Linked DNA regions of Styela clava. The protein of the gene in region 3 interacts with the protein of the main gene of each other region in a biochemical or structural test. Links are inferred from orthologs where the notes say so. Each region holds a gene or a part of one and is shown on either strand. Other genes may lie near its edges. The genes, in order: protein transport protein Sec31A-like, programmed cell death protein 6-like and kelch-like protein 12.

What was found.
Region 1: of the proteins of kelch-like protein 12 (region 3) and protein transport protein Sec31A-like, one has a biochemical effect on the other in vitro, tested with the Homo sapiens proteins (3 studies listed by BioGRID, with this or other methods). The link is inferred for Styela clava from reciprocal best matches to the Homo sapiens genes KLHL12 and SEC31A.
Region 2: the proteins of kelch-like protein 12 (region 3) and programmed cell death protein 6-like form a complex in vitro, tested with the Homo sapiens proteins (2 studies listed by BioGRID). The link is inferred for Styela clava from reciprocal best matches to the Homo sapiens genes KLHL12 and PDCD6.

The regions. Positions count from the first base shown.
Region 1 is NC_135260.1:9,045,772-9,053,997, forward strand, and holds the start of protein transport protein Sec31A-like, read right to left. Parts: upstream 3,270-8,226; 5' UTR 3,133-3,269; coding exon 2,927-3,132; intron 2,373-2,926; coding exon 2,165-2,372; intron 1-2,164. Other genes in the region: uncharacterized protein LOC120347212, read left to right, coding at 5,402-5,476, 6,029-6,238, 6,551-6,715, 6,785-6,910, 7,262-7,349, 7,666-7,864. UniProt on the Homo sapiens protein: Component of the coat protein complex II (COPII) which promotes the formation of transport vesicles from the endoplasmic reticulum (ER).
Region 2 is NC_135264.1:18,523,068-18,531,324, reverse strand, and holds programmed cell death protein 6-like, read right to left. Parts: upstream 3,194-8,257; 5' UTR 3,075-3,193; coding exon 2,641-3,074; intron 1,630-2,640; coding exon 1,425-1,629; 3' UTR 1,008-1,424; downstream 1-1,007. Other genes in the region: tyrosine-protein kinase CSK-like, read right to left, coding at 6,778-6,963, 7,270-7,356, 8,134-8,257. UniProt on the Homo sapiens protein: Calcium sensor that plays a key role in processes such as endoplasmic reticulum (ER)-Golgi vesicular transport, endosomal biogenesis or membrane repair.
Region 3 is NC_135254.1:16,143,854-16,152,301, reverse strand, and holds kelch-like protein 12, read right to left. Parts: upstream 3,128-8,448; 5' UTR 3,119-3,127; coding exon 1,379-3,118; 3' UTR 993-1,378; downstream 1-992. Other genes in the region: EKC/KEOPS complex subunit TPRKB-like, read right to left, coding at 3,725-4,234. UniProt on the Homo sapiens protein: Substrate-specific adapter of a BCR (BTB-CUL3-RBX1) E3 ubiquitin ligase complex that acts as a negative regulator of Wnt signaling pathway and ER-Golgi transport.

The DNA.
Region 1 (8,226 bases), on a different chromosome or scaffold from region 3:
AAAATAAATAGGTCAGTGATAAAAAACTAAAATGTTTTATAGAAATTCTAACCCATGATTGTGTTCATGAGTAACTGGCAATTTATTAATACCATAACAGGGTTGTCCAAAACGAATCGAATATTCGAATGTATTCGAATATCAAAGTATTCGAATACCTTTTCGGCTGATTTTCGAATAATTCCGAATAGTAGCCACTTTTCGCCGTAAACGTGGTGTTTCGTTTTACGGGAATCTTCAAACGACTTTTTACACTGTCTCACGTATTGTAATGACGATGAAATACAATCGGCACTTTGTTTGTTTATATTCTGTGCGACCGTACGTCGCATAGTGTTGCGACACATTTGCACATTTGAGGAAGTATGTTAATTTTATTTCTATGTGGCCCGCTTATTATTATATCAATCATGATATTTAATCGCAGGTCGGTTATGGTTACTTTAAAAAGAAACACGGCCACCGAGATAAAGTGATTTGTGACCCTTTCGTTTTGCCGATTCAGCAGAACACGACAGGGACAGGAAAACACAGCTGCGAAATAACCCGTGCACGTACAGTGTAGTACTTATCACATTCCAAAATTATTTCAACATTCGGGTTAATAGGTTGTCCAAAATGATTGCTGCTTTACAACTTAAATTTACCGCTCAATTGTTAAAAATAGTTAATTCTGTGAGTATGATTCTACCAAACTAACATGATCTGGTTCTAAACATATAAAATTATTAGAGCGTATCAGCATTCAGCATAACTGAACGACAGGGACACAATTTTTCTACCCGTATTATTGGAGGCCTATATGAAAACCCCCTTTTTGAGTGCTAAAAATAGACATCGTCCTATTTGCCATGTGGACTTATTAGCCGGGAAATACGGTATTTATAGCCGGCAAATAATTTTGATAACGATAGTTAAAAGTATCGATCCTTTACCAGGATGATTTTTTGTTGCGCAAAATAATCCAATCCATGACTAGTACCAGCATTTAAAATGTCATGCCGTATTAATTTAATTTTGTTCAACGTAACTCATGGTTGTATCGACAATCTGTAGACATAAATTGTGTGGCAAACTCGCGATTAATATTAATTTTTGATTCCTATTTTCGTATCTACAAAATACAACGGCGATCTGTGGACTTACAATGTGTGGTAAACTACCCGATTATAAATAGTTTTTGATTCCTATTTTCATATTTATAAAATAATAACAGTATTATTACTCAAACAATCAAACATACAACGGCGATCTGCGGACTTAAAATGTGTGGTAAAGTTCCCGAATATAATTAATTTTTGATTCGTATTTTTGTACTCACGAAAAAATTGTCACGAGTGGAAAAATAACTCATACTTTATCCCGCTTTTTGGCAAATAATTTGGACAATGGTTGGTATTTAAAAGTATGGGCGTTTTACTAGGATGATTTTGTGTTGCGCAAATATTCAAATCCATCATCGATACCACTATTGCCGTATTAATTTAATTCTGTTAACATGATTCATGGTATATATATATATATAAAATATATACTGCAATAATCTGCAAATATGAAATGCCTGGTAATATATATAGCTAGGTTGTAACTTGTAGATAGTAGTTATTCCATTGCTTATTGTATGGAAATTCCTACATACATTTAGATAAGCTTCAATTAGTGGATTTTATTTTCGAAGTATTCGAAATTTCATATTCGAAAAAATTAATTTCGAATGTATTCGAAATAGTGAACTATTCGGTATTGGCCATCCCTGACCATAAGGCATAAGCTAAAGAAAATTCAAAATCGAATTACACAATATCAGGTTTTAAAACTATTTGATTGAAAGGGCCGCCCGGAAGGCCAAAAGACCTTCCGGAAGGCCTTTTGTCGAATTATCATTAAAAAGGTTTAGCGAACTTATGCCTTTTGAGTTTATTTGAAAAATTCTTCTTTTACCCCCATCAAAAGTCTGAAATCCCAGACTCCAATGGAATCGAATTTTTTACTCACAACTTCATAGCCCTGATGAAATATATTGTTTAATACCAAAATAACTGGCAAGGCTCACAGAAGTTACCTTATTACCAAGAAAACAACATTAGAAACTTTTCGCCTAAAATAGTACTGTTCTGTTAAGTAGATTATTTATTATAAGGAGCAGCAATTGAAAAAAATGAACCTGAAATGGATTGAAGTCCAAAGCTTTGACTGGTCCTGTATGCTTGTTGTTGGTATTTACCAATGCAGCCTCACTATCAGTATTATCTATCAATTTGGTTGGATCATAAATATTGATAAGTCCGTTATCAGCACCACAAACGATGAGACCTTTGCTCTCGCCAGTTGATGATTCATACCCAGTGTTTCCCCATATCACTTTATAGAATCTTAAAACAGTAATGAGAATATCAGTCAGAGACCGAAGACTTATCGATCGAAAGTTAGGGGTTCCCCCAAAACAGCGCTCTTACTCCATAGTGACACCGTGTGTCCCATCCCTAATTAATTAATAACTCGCTAATTATATGACATAATTCATCGAAAATCAATAGGCTTCTGATCCGAGCTATGATGAATGCACATGCAAAATTTGGAGCAGATTCCACCTCGCTTTCGTAAGATATCGCGAACATCTAACAGACAAACAAACAAACAGACAAATACCTATCAACATACTCACCGATCTTAAGATCGATAAGTAATAATAAAATTGTAATATTGTACATCAGGTAAAACCGATTGCAACAAATTAGCGTAATTGTCAACATTCTGGACCAACGATTACCCAATAAGAAGCATACTTAACAAGAAACACATCTAATGCAAAAAATAACGTTAGTTATAAAGTTAGAATCCCATAGGCAATATTGAAATAAAACTAACGGTAAGTTAAATTATAACTGTTAAATGATGTGAAGACAAATGTAAAATATAAACGAACCTGGTGGGGATGTCAACTTGTCCAGCAAGCTTTAATTCCTTAGAAGAATCTGCCAAATCTACTGAATACAGAGACAAATTCGCAGACGTACTGAATGTTGCATCAAGCTGTTGAGCAGCAGTGGCAGTTGCGAGCTGTATTGGGTGCAATTCTGCTGGACTCCATGCATAATTTGCTGTTACATTTACTTGCTTCACTTTCACCATTTTCGATATTTTCTATCCCGAAGCAAAATCTATACAGACAGGGTATTTATGCTGTGTTGTGTGGATAGGCCACAGTTGATTTTAATAGGATATTGTAATCCTGCAACTAACAAGTATACCATTATAAAAATTGGACATTAAATATATTTTAGTACTACACTGAGTTGGTCAATAAAAGCTCTATATCAGTACAAATTGACAAGCCTGCACTGCGTAATAAACTAAAAGAAATTGCAATTAAAAAACGTCACTATTGGATTCTTTGAAAAAAATGATCCAATTTATTAAAGAAAAAAAAGTCACCGCAGCATTTAAGTTATTAGCAAAAAAACGCAATTTTGATTACATGACAGATTGACAGCGATTGACTTGAATGATTACTGAGACAATCATGGTGCAATCTGATGCATACATCCTTGTTTCAGAGACAAATAGAGTGTGTTTCATTGAATAAAATGTCGAAACATCTTGGAATCAGGGAACTGTGTCCTACTGTCTATACAACTTAATTAACGTAGTTGAATAGCTCTCACAGATGATGCCCTTTTTTTCAAATCGTATCAAAAGTAACCCTTCATGTAATTAAACACATTTATCTGCTATGGGGAGTCAAAATTCGCCACAAAGTGAAGATAAAACTTCGAAAAATTAATAATCATATATACGCAATTGAGACCACTTTGCAGTAAGAAATAATAGACTAAATAATTATGTTCTCATCTCAATAGCAGACAACAAATGTTATTTACATTCCACTGGCTCCCAATGTTAAAATTGCAACAAGGCAGATGATAGACAGAGAGAGACCTCTTTATCAATGGATAGATATTTAAAATTTAACTTTTTCGTGATTCATTTTACTATTTTAATACTATACTATATGTAAATTTGACATAAATTATAGTGTTGTCTAAAAATTGGCACATACATCTTTCAACAATTACCATATTGGATTGTGAGTATGAATTCTTCCAATGAAGCAAATATCAAATATACGTAGTTAATATAGTCCCCAATAGTTAAAATGTTGAAAATTGTGATACATAAATATTATATCATGACTCCATAGTGACACCGCGTATCCCATCACTAATTAATTAATAACTCGCTAATTATACGACATAATTCATCTAAAATCAATAGGCTTCTGGTCCGAGATATGATGAATGCACAAATTTGGAGCAGATTCAACCTCGCCTTCGTGAGATATCGAGTGCATCTAACAGACAAATACCTATCAACATACTTACCGATCTGAAGATCGATAAGTAATAAAGAACTCAGTTAATCAACTTAATTGATCACAAAATGCTGATAGATTCAGATACTTTATTCCAGTCGTGCATGAAATATTGTACCAACATAAGTAATAAAAAAAATGATAACAATAATATCAATTGAAACAAGGATACAATATTTCCGCAATTGACGCGGGCGTGAAAGAATACCAAAATCATTGTGTCCATGACATCGCGTTTAATTAGCAAAGATGAAAGAAGACACCGGTGTTAGATGGACCTTTCACAGTTTAATATCAGTACAAAGTCGATAATTTTTAAACATAATACTGTAATATGAATTTATAGTCATGCCATTTTTCCATTATAAAATTAGTTTTGTCTTATATCCATTAGGCCTATATCTGCACCGCCCCGGTACCGGTATATCAGCATATCTATAAACATTTACGGATCTTCTCAACTTTTGAGATGGCTACAACCAAGGGAGGGCTGGAAGGAGTGAAGAACTTTTTTTGAGATAATATAATATGACAAAAAATACATACTGCAGTACTGACATACCGTAAGCCTGTAAAAACAAGCATGCGAACAATCACAAAGCAAATCACCGTAACATACGTTATTCATTTCTCGTATGTTTGTATGTCCAAATACGTTATCCGTTTGTCATATGTCCATTCCATCACTTTAAAAAAGAAAACTGTAAGTACCTCATCCCCCATTGCCGTATTACGCTCTGCAATACCGATATAATAAAACAAAACACTGGCACTTTTCGTGGCAGCCTTGTTTCAAGCGAACTCGTGGACACGTCAGTAACATGAACGTAAATACACGACTCTGTAGCGCCCACATGCGCATTTGATTTTTTATGTATAACATTGTGACATCATCAATTTGACGAGTTTATGTTTATGTCGACACAAAGGGTTCTTTATGACGTCTTTTCTCGTGAGCCTTCGTCGCTGCTTGCCGTTTCCCAAACCAAGGTGACGGGGCTTCATCGCCCTATTGAACTAAAAGCAATAATGGCTGAAGAAGATGGCGGCAAGAAGCCTATTCCAACGAAACATAAAATCGACGCATATGGAAGCTTTATTCTCGTGAGTCAATTTGGCGTTCTTGTGTGCTTTTGGAACAATGGAACAAATTTATATTAAAATATTCCCAAAATAAAGTATAACGTTTCATGGGTCTCTTATACGGAGCCATCTGAGATTTCTGTAACGTTTGTATTAGTTATGTCCTCAAATTATTACATATGTACCGTGTTTCCCCAAAATAAGACTGGGTCTTATTTCAATTTTTATGTTCGAAAAACAACACTAGGGTTTATTTTCCGGGGATGTGTTATTTTCATTTATCAAAAATTATAAAGTAGGGAATTACGAGATTTTCAAACATACAAAATATGAGAAGCGATATCCATGGCACGTTTTTAGTCAAAATAACTGCAAAACATAGATTATGGATAATTTAAAATGTGTAGGAGAGAGGTCTTATTTTAAAATCTTTTTTAAAATTCTAGCTCGGTCTTATTTTCAGGGTAGGTCTTATTTTCGGGGAAACACGGTAATACAAGAAGAAATAAAAGGATATAGAGGTGACCCGGTAGGTATTCATTATTCAACTGATTTATTATTGTATTCTTTCAGTTGATCCATATCTACGTCCTTGTACTGGTGTTGGCAACATTGTCGACGTTTCAACTTCAAGTTGTAGTTCCTCACGAAATGTTACTTCAGGGACCCATCACCCTGGATATCTCCGATCCGGATCGAATAGAGAAACCATTGATATGCAACCCTCATTACCCCTTGTTTCGAGAAAGCTATATTACAGACGAGATGAAGAGCTTCGAGTCGGTTAGAACATCTTACTATATACTAAAAATTGGTTTTCTTATTGGTTTCAGAAATGATTTTTTTTACAATAGGCCTGAATATGACATCATACTCACGCACTGTGACTGGGCATTCTAAGTAGTCATGTAGACTAGATGATTTTTATGTAGTGGCTGACAACATCAAGGATCTTCTTTGGTTTGCATCAGCAGAAATTATTCCAGTTCTACATTACAATCCGAGTCATAAACAATTAGTTACCCATATAGGACATGGCCAACCTCAGCATACACTTCAGTTAGTAGAATCACCAAAATATTTCTTATAAATCAGGTAAAATCTAGTGAGTTCATCGATCGAACTGATATCCAGGAGTTATTGAAGGCTACAGATGAAGCGACCAATTCTGCAGTGTCCTTCTTTGGAATTAAGAACACCGAAATTTGTGAAATTATTCGTCCAGCAAACAGAACTGGTAATTGCATGTCATTTGCAAAGGTAAGTAAGTAGGCTATTATTTGAAGCTCGATTGATTGAATATGGTGTAACAATATAGTTATATTTCAGATCGAGAAGGAATGTTTGGAAGGAGACTGCGGGGAGGATCCCAATGTATGCTTCTGGAGTTCGACTAAAACCATGCAATTGATGGCCACGCTCCACCTCATAACGTTCATACCTGCAGTGTTAATGGTAAACTAGTAATAAATATTGAAAAACGCTTTGTATATGTTGAGTACATGTTCTGATTAAATGTTTGCAACAAGATAAGCATTCTGAATCGTCATACTGATTTTTGGTCAATAGTTTTGAAAGCTCAGATCGTTTTTTTCTTGTCTATCAAAACCAAATACATATACAAATGGCATATTAATTTTTTACAAATATGCTAATAACCCAGGTGTAATCGTCTCGATTGATTCGAAAGAAAATTATTGTGATAATATAAAAATTTACTTTACATTTAAAAGTATGGGTACTCGTGGACAGAAAGGATAATTCAAAGCGATACATTCGTACACTGTCAGATTATTTATATTTCAGACAATGGGAATGATGTATGATCCTCCTCCAGCTGGATGCAGATTAATTTTGAAACCCATCATCGCAGCTGTGCTGTATTGCCTGACAGGTATTTTGATGAAACTTTATTTCCTGGTTGTACAGACGTGAACAGAATGCAAAATTTTATATATATACAGGCCTCTGACAACAAATGCCATTATCGGACAAGTGGTCGACTATTCTAACATATATATAGCTCTCACGCCTTGGGATTGTTAACCATACAGTTATGTCTAGCGCCACAATTTCATATGAGGGAACAAATATTATAGCAAGTTTCAAACTAATAAGAGCTTCCAGTAATTGAATAGTAGCTGTGTAAACTTTACGGCCAAGTTTAGTTAGTGCGAACGGAAATATATTAATGGGAATCAATATTACAGGCGTCTTTGCAGTACTCGGATTTCTCATGTCCATGGTTGGAAAATCAAAATACGCTCCAGCTATAATGAGTGAAACTTACCCCGGTTTCGAAGTACAAACCGGTCCCGGATACAAGGCCTTCCAAATAAATGGAATAGTCAACCTGGTGTACGCCGGAATATTCCTCTACCTGGCAATTTTTGCCCCGACTTACCCTAGGTTAGTATATAGCGGCAGCATATATTCATTGTTATCGTAATAATTGAACAGCACAAACAAGCCTCAGGGATCGAAGGTAAGTTTGTGATATTTGTCACGTCGTACAAAGGTTGGGGAAACCATTTCTTTGAAAACGTTGGTGTTGAAAATGAGCATATGCAAGGCAAATTGAAATGGTTTAAACTTTAAAGCGTAGACTAATTCGTCAGGAATAATTATCAGGTTATTTGAAAAATGTAATATGAACTCCAGAATTCGAGTATATCAGATGAAAATAATAATAAAAAAATAAGTCATTTTATTTCAGTATTTCGAAATTGATTAGGCTGAACTCTAATATGCAAATGAATGATATTATTGTA
Region 2 (8,257 bases), on a different chromosome or scaffold from region 3:
AAATGCAATATGAAAAATCTGGATCAGGAACATTGGTAACAAGAATAAAGCATCAGCACTGCGTTTCTACTCATGAAAACTGCGCTAGCTGGGCTCATCACAATAATTGAATGAATAGAAAACAAGTGATCAACAATACACAACAAGATATGTAAGAATGCAAATATTAATTCAATTCCCAGATTACAATTTCCTTCCCAAGATTCAAATATCTAATATTACATCATAAAGCAGGATACAAATATGTATTGTGACTCAACATAACATTTTATCAAAGTCGGATAGGAAAATTCTTTGATCATAATTCTCTTGGTCAGTGCCAGGTATTTAATGCTCCACGCAATACAGAGCTCTAAATTTAATTTAAATACCAATTATTAACGAGTTATGTCACAAAAACTGGTTATTTCATCACATCAAAGCAAATGTATGTATCATTCAATAAAAAAATCAGAGCACTATTTTAGAAGAGCGCAATAATCTCTTCCATGAATATTTAGAATAAGAAGTATAAGATTTCAAATCGAGGGGAGAGAAAAGCCTATAAGACATATTGATAACTGGGGCCTCTCGTCCCATTCCAAGTCCATGTTGTGTACGTGAACATTATTATTACAACCAGTTATTCATTTCTGACACATGGTCTTTGATGTTTGTTCAAAGCAAGGCTACATGAACTCACTATGAAGTGAATATAAATACATAACATTGTACCGAATAAATTTGCAATAATTTAGACTTGGATGAATAAACATTCACATCAAAATGTTTCTCTAAAAATCTAACAATTCCACTGCATAATGAATTGAATGGAAATGTTAAAAACCAACTTTCATAAATGTTCTTTTTCAGATAAATAAAGTCCATGGCATGGTTTCTCAAACTAGGCCATCGACCCTAGGGGCCCAGAGAGTAGAACCGCTAATCAGATATCATTAGCAATACATTCATTTGAAGTAAATTGCCTGTGATGCAGTTCTTGTTTTTTTTATTATTATACATGGGTAACATGGTCAATGAAAACATGTTATTAAAAACCAAACTTGTTATTTTTGTGAGAGTTGGAAAAGTGTTGAAGACTTCAGAAGGGCATGAAAGTTTGAGAACCATGACAAATCGGAGTGAAATTTTATGAAAGTTTGAATTCTGTTCAATTTATTTCTAACCCCAACAAACAAGGTATTCAAAATAAGGGTCGCCAGGTTTCACCACATGGAAAAGGCGAATAATACGGCGTGAAACACCTGTCTGATTGTCTTGTTGAATAAACCTGCAGTATTGAATCAATGTCCTCAATATAATTATTCATCACAGAAATGAAAATAATATTTTCTCGAATTAAGAAGAACTAGGATTCCCAGAAATTGGACATTCGGTAAACTAATACAATAATAGGTGGATACATATCAATTAAAGGTTTTGAGTTATGACCTAACACTGAACACCATGGAGAGAAATTCTTCGTACGATACTTGAATCATCCCGTTTCTGCTGGTATCTTTAGCACTGAAGGACTTTGTTAAAGTTTGCAGAACGACGCAGCACTGGATGAAATCATCGAATGCAATCGTTCCTCGGCCCTGACGATCAAACTTTCTGACCAACAGGTCGTAGAATCTATCCGACAATCTGGAATGAAAATCAGAATTAGAAGCCTAAAATTTGGATGCCAAAACTTTTGTCTCATTTGTCTCAAGGGAATTTATAAAAAAACAACCCCGGCTTGACTTCAATTCAATCAAAGTCTGATTCCGACTCTCTAGTCCTGGGCCCAAATATTTACTGCGTTACATCTAATAACCATCTGCTCTTATCAGTGGTTCACAGGTTCGTCATCCTACCGTGAGACAATTCGAGTTATGATTCTGTCGCCTTAGGATTTGTTTGAAAATAATAATCTTGTATTTAACCTACATAATCACCACAGATATTTGCCATACCAAGCAATAACAAATGCCATACAAAACCAGATGTATTTCTTTATTATTATTTTCAAACAGCTGTCATGGAGACTGGAAGTCAAAATCATAAGTTAAACGATGCGGTGCTTTGTTTATATTTAGACGAGTTAACTGATTAGAAATATTAGTTTATTTTTTATAGGGGTTCGCAGACTGGCTGCACCACCCGGGTCTAGTATAGTTTAGTACCACAAGTACTTCCAGTGGGCGTAGCAAAACGTTTTTAGCATATGTTATTCCTAACCCTCACCTGACTATGCCAAACAAAAATTACGTCACTACGACGTCACCATCACGTCATAGGGATTGCCAAAGTATAATTACGATCGCCCGAAATGGCATCTGCGCCGCCGATAAGAACTTGCTAAAGCCGACAATCTCTCTCCTATCGTGATCGTTGCAACAAGAAAAATAGCTTGCTCGATTTCGGGTTATCGTCTGCGCGTTTTGTACGACCATCCGCATACTTCGGTGAGCCTTATTATGCCACTGTGACGTCGGAATGACATAATTTTTCGGTGACGTAGTCAGGTGGGGGTTAGGATTGACATATGCAAAAATTGTTGAGCCAGGCCAACTAAAAGTGGATGTGGTACTAAACTATACCAGACCCCACCACCCTACCCTCTGTTCCCGGCCAAACCAGTAATTTGCAATGAAACACTCAATCTCGACTTACCTGTATCCAAACGAAGTCAATGCAGTTTGTAATTCCCTTTTATCAATCGATCCAGAATTATCTCGATCGTAACTTTTAAACGTATTCTGCCAATCTGTGACGTATTTCCACAATCCTGCAAACTCTTGAAAATTAATTGAACCGCTGTGGTCAGTGTCGAACATTCCAATCATCAACCGAACTGTCTCGGGGTTGAATGGCTGCCAAGTTCCGTTAGACAAAGCTTCTTGAAGCTCTCTTGTCGAGATCTGACCGCTCCTATCTCGATCTACACGAGTGAAAATTCCCCATAAATCAACTCCAGGGATTTGTTGGTGAGGGGGAGGTTGGCCATAACCACCAGGTGCTTGGTAACCTTGCTGGGGGTGATAGTTCTGCTGCTGGTACCCTTGCTGCTGCTGATAACCTCCAGGCTGGTTATACTGGTAAGCCATTGTTTCTCTCAGTTCTGTAGCTTTTAAGACTAGATTGAGCTGAAAAACACAGAGGTAAAAAAGCGAGCTATTTGTTAATTTGGCAGATAATGAATAAGGCTGATCCACTTAATTCTGTAATTACAGACTGATAACTCATACCGGTAGTCTGTATTCAGCAAAATGCATAAATAACTGAATAACTGTAAACTTACAGACTTAGCTTTAAATAATTTCATAGCGCTAAACCCCCCAATATCAATCTGGCAACTACTTTACCGAGAAGAGGCACCCAACCCGAAAAGTCACGTGAGTAGATTTTGTGGTTCCGTGACAAATATTTTCGCGATTTGAAACAATTTTATGTGGCCCTTGTGACTCAGAATTTTTGCATCAAGCATAAAATCATAATCTGACAATTTGTGTTAAAAAAGGCGCTCACATGGTTAAAGTACATAATGTTCTTTGCTCTTGTCACTGCCTTAATTACTAACTTACGGTATTTCGTTATGCCCAGCGAGATGCCTGAAATTGGTTATAATATAGCCTTCCGGCAAAACTTTTTGCACACCCATGGACTGAATCTTCACCTTCGTCATTTATTGAGATAGGATTTACATATATATCCCGAGTAAGAGAAATTAAGAATTCTTGAATTCCCGCCTCCCTTATTGATTTTCCAGACTCTTCCCATATTATTTTCCCAGATTCCTACCACCTAGTGTATTCACCTACAGACTCCTTTCTCCCCATGTTCACACTTTCCTGATTATTTCCACCTCTTATGTTATTTCCCAGACTCCTCCCACCTCACGTACTCACTTTCAGTCCGGCAGATCATATATGATGAACATTTATTTACGGTCGCTGAATAATAATTAAGATATTGTGCCAGCAACATCACACATAAAATATTTGGGCATATAAATAGGAAGCTTGGCCCAGCAAATATATACTTAATATGGGAGGCATAATAGTCCTCGGTCACATCACTTGCAGGTTGTTGTCTGATTGTGAATTATCCAATCGAAAATTGCATCTAAACGTGTGTCAAATTCAACCCGAATCAAACTGATATAGAGGGTATTGGGACAAAAGTGCGAAAGTTTGAATTTAAAAATATCGAAGAAATATATGCTTTTAAACATCAATGTTTGGAGCAATATTCGCCAGATTATTCCAATAAAAAGTTTAGCAATCAAAAATATTTTTTCTTAGAAATTGTTTCGGGCTGGAATTCCAGATTGCCACAGCATTGCATATGAAAAGGAATGTGGTCAAAGGACAACAACTCTGGGGTTCTCAACCTTTATCCACCCCTTCTGCAAATCCAACGGTAATCTCAACCCTCCCGAAGTTTGTGTTTGGCGAGGAGGGCCATGGCAGAATTAATATCATTGTTGAATTGTTAGGGATTGATTAGTTTAGTAAGTTAGAGGCGAAACAAAACAAAAGCAAAGTTTTACAAAAAAAACAGACGGTCATCTCTGTGTTGAGACTCACGAGGCATTACAATCGCAACAATATTGAAATCTATACAAGTCATTTTGCTTTAAAATGAAAGCGATAGCTTATTCGTGTAACAGATATTGATTCTCGTTTTTACCCTGGTCAGGTTGAGGAGCCCTGCTATAATGCTTTAAAACGCATGTTTGGCTAAATATATAAATGACAAAAACAACAACGCCATAGAAGTGTTATTGCTTGCAGTGTGATCAGATAATTGATTGCGGCATGAGACAGGATACACAAGAGTTAAAACAGAACAGAATATTCTAGGGTAAGTTCCCCATAAAGGGCCTTTGACTCCCTAGAAGTGGTTCTTCATGAAAGAACTGTGAGTTGCCAGAATTATTCAAACATAAGTAGTACAGAGTCTTTTCATGAGGCGTTTTCCACTGTGAACTAGTCTCAGGTAAGTCAGTCACTGATGTGTGAGAATTATCGCGACTATTCCGTTTACTCCAACAGACGATTTGGGAAGTGAAAGATTTTATAAGAAAATCTCTTTCATGAAAAAATTTGGTTCTGAGAAACAAATCTACAGGTTGCCACTATGAAAGATTAATTTTCAAGCAATGCTTTGACAAGTCTTTCAACAAAAACATATTATTAGTAAACACAGTTCAATGGGAAAGCTATCGAAGCAAAACTAGGTAATTTGAAAGAAAACGGGGGCCATGGAGTGTTTAGACTCTTTGTAAGGAGGTCAATGAGAACAACTGGAGTTGAGACTTTCTAAAACACTCAACCATATCTATTCTTGCAATGATAAAGGTAGTTAGTTAGGGTACACGCTACTCTAACAAATAAAATATTGATACATATTAATACAGGATAGCATTTACATATTAACCAGAGGGAGAGGAAATTCTTATACAGTAAATAGTCCATGTCGAGTATGGGATTAGTTATTCAGTTATTTGTTACAGATACATGGGCTTGATGGTGGAGGAAGCCGTAATAAAAATTTTGAGTAATCAGTCCTAATTAGGATCAATATATATTTCAAGTAATCAGTCCTAATTAGGATTTTGGGAAAATTCGATTCTCCTAGCAAAATCAAAGCTGCCCACAACAAACACACAAAACAAAATCAATTGTTAATAAAACATGATAAAATGGCATAATCACACAAAGTTATTTCATTATATGGAACAATTACATTATTACTAGATAAATCTTAAACGTAGGCTTCAGCCATGTTTAAAACATCAAAATTTTTCTAACAATTGCACCTCAAGAACAAAGAATTATGTTCAAATGAAAATAAGAGAACTATATAGCATTCAGCCGTTCAGCGGCCGCATTTAAAATTTTTGTAAATATTCTTTCCACTTTTAGTTGGAGGCTGAGCTCCTTGCTTCGGAAAAACTAGTATTAAAAAGCCATAGTGCTAACCACATCTAAGAAGGCTAACAACTTTCAGTTTGAAAAAACTGGTAATGAAAAATGCTCATTCCTATAGTTTTCACATCTTGAAGTGAATGCTTTCGGATTGATGTGCACCCCCACAAAAAATAATAATTATAATAAAATTACAGAAAAAAATGATTAATAGACATTATGACAAGAAATGTTAATAATATAGATTCATATGATTTGGTCAATAATGTGGGGTTACTATAGGTCAATGATGGGTTCAATAAAGTTCATGGCATTCCCAAATGCCCAGTCAGGTAGGGGCCATAGGAACAGCAAGATGTAGCAGCAGATCCGAACGTAGAGTTCGAGGTATTACACATGCTTTTCATTCTTGTGTATAACAATATCTATAATTTTCTCATCCCCAGAATTGTATTTGAAGTTATGCATAAGGGACATCAGTCACTATGAGAAACTCACCCTGGGCAGAAGAAAAGTTTGGCTAGCTACTCACTGGTGATTAAAATTAATGAGAATAAGCAATTAAGGAGTAGGAAATGGGTAGGTAACCATTATTAAGAACATATATGCTCTTTCCCTGGGAGATAAGCGGACCTGACAGCCATGGGTTACGCTGTTCCAAACCTGTGACCTGATTTGACCCTAAATCAGGGTTCACTTGAAGACAGTTTCTGGGTGTTAGGTTACTATAGTTCATTGTAACAGGTACATGATCTTATAATGCGAGGCAAAAACATGGGTAACTAAAGTTCATAATCTCAAATGGAATTTCATAAAATCTAGAGCGGCTCATGACTTTATGAGGTCACATTGGGCCAAATTTTCAGGTCACCATCGGTCATGACTGGGTTAAAGGGCCTTTCTTGATTTTGTCTAATTCAGCTATGACTTCCACAAATGAAATTCTGGTGTCGGGGTTGATGTCCCAACATTTCTTCATGAGACAATAAATTTCCTCCGGGCACCGGTCCGGCTTGTCCATGCGATATCCATCCATGACTTTGCTCAAAACATCCTTGAGAGGCTGAAATTAGAAATTGAATAAGTAAATAAAGCAATACGGTTCGGATAGAGTGGGGCAAATGGTACTCCTAAAAAGGCCCAATGTCCTGAATAGGAAATAAATCAATGTGTTCAATCCAAGTGATAATCCTAAGAAATCTATTTATTTTCAAATTAACTGCTTGAATTGAGTGGAGTGCTTGCCAGCGAAGAGATGAAAATTGAATGAACTGAAAAAATTCATGGATTATTTCAAACCTTTCTTTTTATTTCTATTGCAACGAATCAGTCTTTCACTGCAGGATTTGTATACGTTCATAATACTCACCACTCTGGGATACGGAACTCTCCCAAACGACCAGATCTCCCACAGCATGACACCGTAGCTCCACACGTCTGATTTATTTGAAAATTTCTGAAACAAAGCATGAATGTATAAATCTGATCAGTCAAACAAGAAACCATCCATCTCATTTTTCCACTCAAAATTTGTCCCAATTTTTTGTTCGGCATCTACCGGGTTTCCTAAACTAGGCTGCCAGCCCCCTAGCGGCCCACAGGAGATTCTTTGGTGATCACAAGAAAAGTCCTTCAACTAGGTACCATTTGCTGAGACTCCATTAATTTGAAGTAGACTGACTGATTTATTTAATTCTTTAATTGTAACGCATTTGTTTTTCAATTCTTGACTTTTTAATAAGGAACATGAGAAATTAAATGGAAATTTCTCTAAGAAACAAAACAAGGTCTTTATACGAAAAAGCAGAGCCACCAGCGAGTCTTTGCAAAGAAATCATGAAAATTTGAGTACCACTGCGTCCTGCCTGCTACCTCAGGATCAGCAGTGTGGTGCATCATGCTAGCCATTAGGAATATGCTTGGCACCGTACCTCTGATTACCCTGTACATGTTCGCATCCCATGCAGAGATAATTATGTGCGAAAAGATTGCTGGATTCTTCGCCACCGTAGCTCATGCTTCCTCCACCATAAAGTCCATGCATCTGAAACGAATACCTGGCCAACTAGCCCCATATCTACCATGGACTGGTAACGGAACGAGAAGCGTTGGTACGCCTTATGAGTGAACCGTCTTATCAACCTTCCTCTCTCTAGAATAAATATGTAAATCATATCCTTCCTTTCTTCAGGTTACAAATAAAATCCTAACTCTGGCTGTAATTTCTACTCACTGATTGCTTGAGGGCCTCAGGTGCAGTCCATTTCACAGGAAACTTTCCTCCTTGTAAATTCGCCTGCTCATCTCTGGCAAGCCCAAAATCCGACACCTTTGCGCTTCCATCTTCTGATACAAGA
Region 3 (8,448 bases):
CGAAAAAAGCGAGACTTGAAAGTAAAAAGGAAGGAAAATATACAAACAAATAAAAAAAAATGAATAAATTCTTTTGCCACACCAAATTAATAATTTTATCAGGATTGCCAAATTGGATACCGAATTAGTCAACAAGAGTTAATGTATTGTGGATAGAAAAGTATTCCTCAAAAGATATCGTCAAGCTGATTATAATTGGAGTCACCTAATGCCAAATTGCCCAATCAGAATTGCCAAGTTGGATGTATGAAAAGGTGGGCTAGACCTGCTTCACTCATCAAATAGAAGCCACAACAAGCCAAATAACGTCCAAATTATTTTAAATACTATTAATCAATAACAGTACCGGTAATCATAATTAAAATTAATTAGGGCGGTATGATACAGAGGTAGGAAAATTGGTTAAGGGAATATATATGACTAGGCTAAAATTCATTACCGGTACTTTTATAAAACAAATTGTTGAATGGTATGAATTAGAATAATAGTTTGATACAAAAAACCCATTTTACAGGCAACAACTCGCGAAACCACTTTTAGAATAAGCACCGAAAATTTTGAAATGGTAAAGTACAGGAAGAATTTTCCGGGGTCAAAGGTCGGGGAAAGATCCATTCGGTGAAGCTGACATCGGTTTCTTGGCTACCAGTACCGGGCGAGTTAGATTTGACAATGAGGCAACATTGGACAAGTTCGGGCTTCTGTAGGGGTAAAAGCCCGCTATTGAATGCAGCTATGAAGTAACATATCAGATTCCTACCCACTACTTAGCAATAAAGGTTCTTCACTGCTAATTCCGTCTGCCGCGACTTGACTGTGCGAATCTGCTTTTGATCTTGTTACCATCCAATCAAAATCTAGAAACCGTCCTGATGTTGACAGTGACATTCGTCTGGCTGTATCAAAGACGGTCCCAAGCGCAAGATTCTCATTGATTATACTAGGTTTGCTTCTGCATTCAATAAAAGATCGGAAAAACATAATACAATCCAACACGTTTAATTTTAGAGGGGCTCACGAAAGGTTGGGAACCACTGTCCTAGACTTTGAGGCTTGTACACATCACTGTCGATTCTATTGCACAAATGAAATGATAAAGTCAACTTGGCATAAGTATGATGCTGTCGTTGTCTAAACCTGTCTATGATTTGATGAAGGAGAAAAAAATATGGTTTTCTGAATAAGAAAATGAACTCCGTTTTCAAAAATGTATGTAGCATTGTTTCAGACTTAACCAAATGAATCACCTATAAGTTAAAATATAAAAACGAAAATAAACTCTATTGCAGAATTAAGTTTTTCATAAATCTGGTACAAGTTGAGTAATTTTTTTGAACGAATTTCATGAAAAATTGTTAAGGTAACAGAAGATGATAGCTCAAGTCTTTTCTTTTATAACAGTAATGCCTGCATCACATCTATGTGTACTCATGTGTGTAACAACTTTCCAGTCATCCTTTTCTGGATCATATTGTTCAATTGAATTCAAAAGGTAATGTCCATCATAGCCAGCTACTGCATGGAGCTTACCTCTGAGCACACATGCATTAACATAACATCGAGGCACTGTCATTTGCTGTACTTCTGTCCAACAGTCTGTATGAACATTATAAGCCTCCACAGTGTCCAAATGAAAGTTTCCATTAAAACCACCCAGTACATATATAACATGATTTAGGTATGCAACACCTGCACCAGAACGTTTTGTATTCATCCGTGAAACCATTATCCATTTACCAACTTTCGGATCATACAACTCAACAGAACTGAGTATATCAACACCATCATATCCGCCTACACAATAGATGCAATCTCTTGCAGTTACCAATCCTGCACCTTCCCTTGCACAAGCCATATCTGGCAGCATTGTCCATTCATCTATACGTGGATCATATCTTTCTGCGCAAGAATGCCGGGAAGAGCCATCAAAACCACCAGCTACATAAATCAAGTTTCCTAAAACTGTAGCACCAGCCAGTCCACGTTTCATGTGCATAGGGGCAACTGAATACCATATTCCATCATCATCAGAAGAGTATTCAAGACATTCGACAGTATTAAGTCGTAAATGTGAATCATATCCTCCAATTACGTAAATCCTATTGTCAATAGTTACTGCAGAAACATATCGCCTACGCTTTGTGAATGAAGCAATTGTACCCCATTCCCCAGTTTTTGGATTGTATTTTTCAACAGTCGGAATCGGTGCTTGTTGACTTCCAAAACCTCCAAGAACGATTAAAACTTCAGAAGTGCCATATCTTGGCTGATTTGCTATACCTTGCATCTCAGCCCGGAGTTCCGGACGCAAATGAAACTTTTTCGCAGCATCAAGTAAATCTCGACATCGCAAGTTTGATTTTATCAATTCCTGTTCATCAAGTACATCTGTTATGAACTGCGCAGACAATAATGGTAATCTTACATATTCGAGCATATTTGATAACTTGGGGCCTCTTTCTTCTCTATTATGTGTTATCCAGTACATTAACGCTTCATATACATCTTCTTCTGAGTCGATTTCAAGTTCTGATGATTCAAGCAATTCAATAACGTCTGATTCATTCAATTCTAAAAATTCTTCATTTTCTATAACTTCCTTAAAATGCTTTAAAGTGAACTCCTCGGCACACTTGGCAAGATCTAAACATTGATGTGTACTCGCGAAAGATTTTATACTCAAACAATTAACAGGATCCAGTTGTGATTTCAAAAATGCGCAACATGCTTGTTCCACACCTTTTAACTGTAAAAGACAAGCTGCAGGAAGAAGGTCTTGAACATTATTTGTTGTGACTTTTACTGATTCAGTGTATACAAAATTCAATAAAATGATAACTGTGTTACTTGACATCCCTTTAATTTCAACAACGGATTGGTCCTTTTCTCTCATCCCAGTTGTAAACATAGCTCGAAAATAAGAAGATGATGCAGCTAGAACAACTCGATGAGCTGGCAGTTCAACATCTTGACACTTTATTGTGACATCACAAAGAACATTTTCAGATCGTAATTCGTTCATGGAATCAAGAATATTGTTGGCATGTCCACTAACCAACACCACCCTTTCAGTTGTATCTGACGCTGGTAAAACATCTTCATTGTCACTGCTGGACATTTTTAGAATTGAAATAATAAATTAATAATATTGCCTGGCAGGATAAAATAAAAAAGTTGTGAAAATTTTGTTACCAAAGATATTTTGAGAAGATTACATTATGCAATCCCTTAAGCAATCAATTAGGTCTTTAAATTCTAACGCACATGATGTTGAATTAAATAAGGATTAAGCAGATGTTGTTGTCAATGTTTAATGACGATAAAATATTGTGAAATCAACTACAACAAATTTCGACTATTTATATGCATGCACTAGAAAACTAATTGTTCGCCATATGGAATTAACACTAGCAACGACAGTATCTTAAATAGAAAAGAAAACTGAAAGAATTGCTGAGGAATCTGATCCAGAGTAGAGCGTTCTGCCAACATGTATTTCAAGTACTAGTAACAAATTATCACGAAAAATCTTGCGGAGACAAAATAATTGTGAAATTGATCTAAACTCAGCATGGTCATTAGATTCGTTGACCAATATTTCTATTGATACCATTCTTCAATGAGAAGCAGCACAAAGAATGCTATTTCAACAGAGTATTACATTTTGGTATGGTACCAAGTATTGACCAACTGAATCCTGGAATCTGTGGGTAAACAACATCGATCATTTCACATCTTTAGTAGCCATTCTAGTAACAACAGCTTCAACAGTTACTTCTTCATTTTGTTCGAGACGATAAATTTTCTTTATTCTCTCTACATCAATAATTTTTTCCAAGTTTTCCAAACCAACAATTTCACCATTTACAGATTCTGGAATTACTTTGGAATTCAAGTCATCCTTCAAAACTACTGCAATTATCTTCTTTGTCATTTCATTGATACCAAATGTCTTCAAACTTTCATTAATTTTATTTGTGGGTGATAAATTAAACAATATTTCCGAATATAGAGACTTTGTTTTCATACGTCCTAATTTCTGATAATACAACGCTTTATTGACTGCTGTCAATATATGAAATGAATCTAATATCAAAGAACCATCAATTAAACATCCTTGTAAAATTCCTTCAGTTGTTAATTCTTTTAGTTCCTTTGCGTTTGTGACATTTTGAAACAGTGAAATTTGAACACTTTGGTCAGGAAATAATGGCTTAAGATTAAAAGTCTGCATTTCACTGTGATTCGGAAATTACAAGTTAACAATCAAATATTCAAAAAACTGAAATGTTCTGAATATGGTCAGATAGTCAAAACACTAAAATCTTGAAATCTATATATTTACTGTAAGAAAATTTCACAAAGGATAAAATGCCTCCTCCAGTCCTTCCGGTACCTAAGGTGTTAGCAATTTTTATGTGCCACTAGACACACAGACACAGAAACTCCAATGAAAACAGTAGGCCACCAAGGGAAGCGGACAACTCGACTACACGGACAACTCACCAGAGACAACTCGACTACAGATGGGTCTGGTGGGTTGTCCGTCTTTCCGCCTTTTCTACGGCGACGTTTTAAGCCTATAACAATGTAATTTCGATATTTTTAGGGCTCCAATGTTGAGAAAAATACATTAATATTCTCAAGAAATAATTTTTATGTGTATAAATGATTTTGCTCAAGTTATATGAATACAGATACAGTCTACAGACGAAACTGGAGTACGGTGTCATTTTTTTGTGCATTTGATGTTTTTGTGACGACGAATAAATGATTGATTGATTGGTAACGGTACCAATAGCAAAGTTATACTGTTGACTTATAGGACTGTGTGCGTTTTAATTTTTGAAAGTTATTGATATTGAATGTTTTGAGTACGTACTTTTGAATATATTAAAACCTTCATACGTAGCAGGAAACAGTAACACATATATATTCATGAATGTGAGTTTCGTAGTCTATGATCACTTTAGTTTAGTGGTCACCCGTAGTCTAAACTCGACCGTATACCGGTATGGTCGTATCGTTATCAACCAGTCACATACCGAAAACTGCATAATGTGTTTTTTATTATTATTTGTTGTTGTATCATCATGTTTCCTAGTTTGACGAAAAAAAAAATATTTTCTCTCTCTCTCTCTCGCATTCGCTCGACTGATTCAACAGTTGAGCAAGCGCTCTGCGAAGTTATGCTGTCGATGCTCGAGAGGAAGACAACTCGACTACAGAGAGTTATCTGTGGATTCCCTTCTTCGTAGGACTTTTAAAACGTAGCCGTAGAAAATGCGAAAAGACCTTTGGACCTTTCCCCGACCTTTGACCTTTATTGTTATGATTTTGGTCGCTCAGACCAATGACATTAACCCTTTCCATGCGATTTTTATTTTTTATTAAATAATCGTATTTGCTACGCCGACTTTATGCATTTGTACCCCCACAACTAATCGATCGACTAACGAAAAAGTAATGATCCTCTGCTGCCCACTGACGGCTCGTTGGAAAGCTTATTTAAAGAGCTTGCAATTGGCGATTGAAAAATTTTTTTTTTTTTCAGAAGGGGTGGTCTGAGTCACAAACAGGATAGAAAAAAGACATTTTTTTTCTTGGGTGTTGAAACTTCAAGCCGTGATAAAAAATAGAAATATTCGCTAAATCCTTTACTGTTACCGCTTCTTGGTTGGCAAACAATAGCATAATATTACTGTAGCAATTTCGTTATCTAACTCAAAATACTTTGGTAGATGGAAGGGATAATATGTCTTCTATTACCACCCAAAAAACACCGAAATTTGCATAAATCAAAAACACTCCCTCGTTCCGCCGCAAATAAAACTCCCATGGTAAACGAAAGCGAGATTTACCGTCGCTTATGTTAATCTCGAAGAAGGCTTCTTATCAATAAACTAAAACCCGGAAAAACTAGACCAACAGTTTGCGACCGATTGCTAAATAAAACAGTGGAGTACATCAACGTACCCGCCGCAAACTAGCGAGTTTTGTCGTGGGTACGTATACGTGCCCACCGCACGGAAAGGGTTAAACAACATGATAGGCAACTCTGACGTCACTCCATAAGACTACAGGCAAAACATTGTATTTCATGATACGCTCCAATGCACATATTTCTCGTCGCCTTTCGCGTCCGTTTTCCATTTCGCATATAATTCTCACTGATTGTTGGCTGTTTATAATTCCTATTGATTGTGAATTCTGATTATAACAATGAGTTGAAAATTTTTTTACCTAATTTACTGGCACCTTTTTCTTGTCAATACTCCAAGCTGAGGTAATAAACATGACAATACATTTATGTCATCTGGAAGCAAAATATGCACACTAATTAATAGTTTGGCACATTGAGATAATACATCATGACAGAAAATACAAGTTAAAGATATGTATGACCATCACATGGTAATTAAAATTAAAAAAAATTAATAGGGGCTGTGGAGTATGGAAAGTTCAAGACAAAGAAAAGAACAAATGTTCATAGCTCATGAACTCTCAATTTTGCCTCCATTGCTTTGTGAAGGCCAATATATTTCAAGTGGCTGAATTGGTTTACCTTTATGATAGCAACGATTTTGTATTTAATATAGCGAGATTATTTCAATTTAATTGAAGTGATATAATTTCCCAAAGCAATGCTTGAATCGTCTAGAATAGATCAGTGGTGTCAAACTCATGGGTTTTCGAGAGCCGCATTGCATTTTGAAAATTGTAAAAAGAGCCGCAAACAGTTTTTGATAATGTATACTTAAAAGATATTTTTAAGATAGTTTTAGTTTGTGACATATATTGTGATGCAACTAAACAGTTGGATTAAGTTTTATTATTTTCTTCAATTTCAAATGCAATTACATATTAATATTTGCATTCCACTATTATTGCAACATTTGCAAGTTACAGTATTTATTATAAAAAATCGTAAAATTCTATGTAAAACCATCAAAATCATTTTTGAACAAGCTTTGAATAAGGAAAGAATAATACATACACTAAAAATAACTTAATCTAAATATATGAACCTAAAATTAACAAAATACTACAGTATAAACTCAATGTTTTAATAATTACATTTGTCCTGGCGTTTGGCATCTTTTTTTGTGTCACCAGCATACTAAGGTCAGTCTGAAATGATTTTATAGTACCAACTCTAACTAACGAGGCCACATGATCATGGGTTTATCTGGATCTTTACGAATGTTTAATTAATTCCAGTAATGCAAAAAAGTTATTTTTATCATTTCATGTATAGATCAGTAAAAAAACAAATGACAGATTTTTTCGACAAGACATTTCGCACTACATTGCGTGGCATAGGATTGCTCGAATTATTATTGATATTGATTTTTAGTAACTAAGTCGTTGTATAATTATATTAATATACAAACACATGGAAATTTTCTGTTCGAAGTTGGTCTTCGAATTTGTCATATTGACTGCTGAGCTTATTGTGTTTTTTGATTGTATTGACGGAAATATGACAAATTAAACAATGTGCTTCAGAATTTTGTGAAGAGCAGAAATGTTACAACTCCCATTTTCTTCGAAAATGCCACCTTCTTCATGTACTTTGCGTTTAATTTAATTACTCAAGTGTTTTATTCAAGTATTCTTTTGCTAGCTTGATGTGTATTCTTAATTGGGTCAAAATGTGGACAAAAAAATTAATATTCCAAAACTACTTTCAGTAAATTGTTTTCTGTGTGAATAATCAATTTCACTTTAGAAGGTTTGAAAAATCTATTACATTTAGATAAAAAAAAAAACTTTAAAAATACTATTACAATTATTGTTAAGCGTTCGAGGGCCGCACTGGAAGTTCTCTGGCCGCGAGTTTGAGATCCCTGGTCTAGATTGAAGTTGTTCAAAAAATATATGATAGTATTTTATCATGAATGATGATTATACCCCTTCCGGAATTTCTTCTATAGTACTACCAAAAGTTGATGAACCAAATATAACACAGGTGCAGTGAGGTACCCGTAATCCTCATTTCCAAAGCTGTTTTAAGTATGTCTGGCGTGTTTTGTGCCTTTTTACAAATAAGACCGCTTATGCATTCTTACGCTTTGGAATTTTTAGTTATTTTCCTCAAGCCCTGCAGGATGTGGGGGCCATACACAACTCTACCGGAGGGTCAAATGGGTTTGCATGCCTCCATAGGTTGTTTTTCTATTGCAATTTTCTATTTTCAATTGCATTATATTTCTTGGAATCACACTGTCACTGATATGTCGCCAGACTTCTGATATCTCCCCGTCTGCTATAGTTGTCCTGTGAATAAATAATAGGAAATTGAGATTAGACGAATAGTTGAAAGTTTTGCTTTATGTCGGCTTAATTTCTTGATTGATATACTTACTATTTCTGCTATTGCCTCTTGTGCTGCAAGAGTCTCACAATGCTTAGACAGGTTTGTCCACAACTTTCACATCTGAAGAA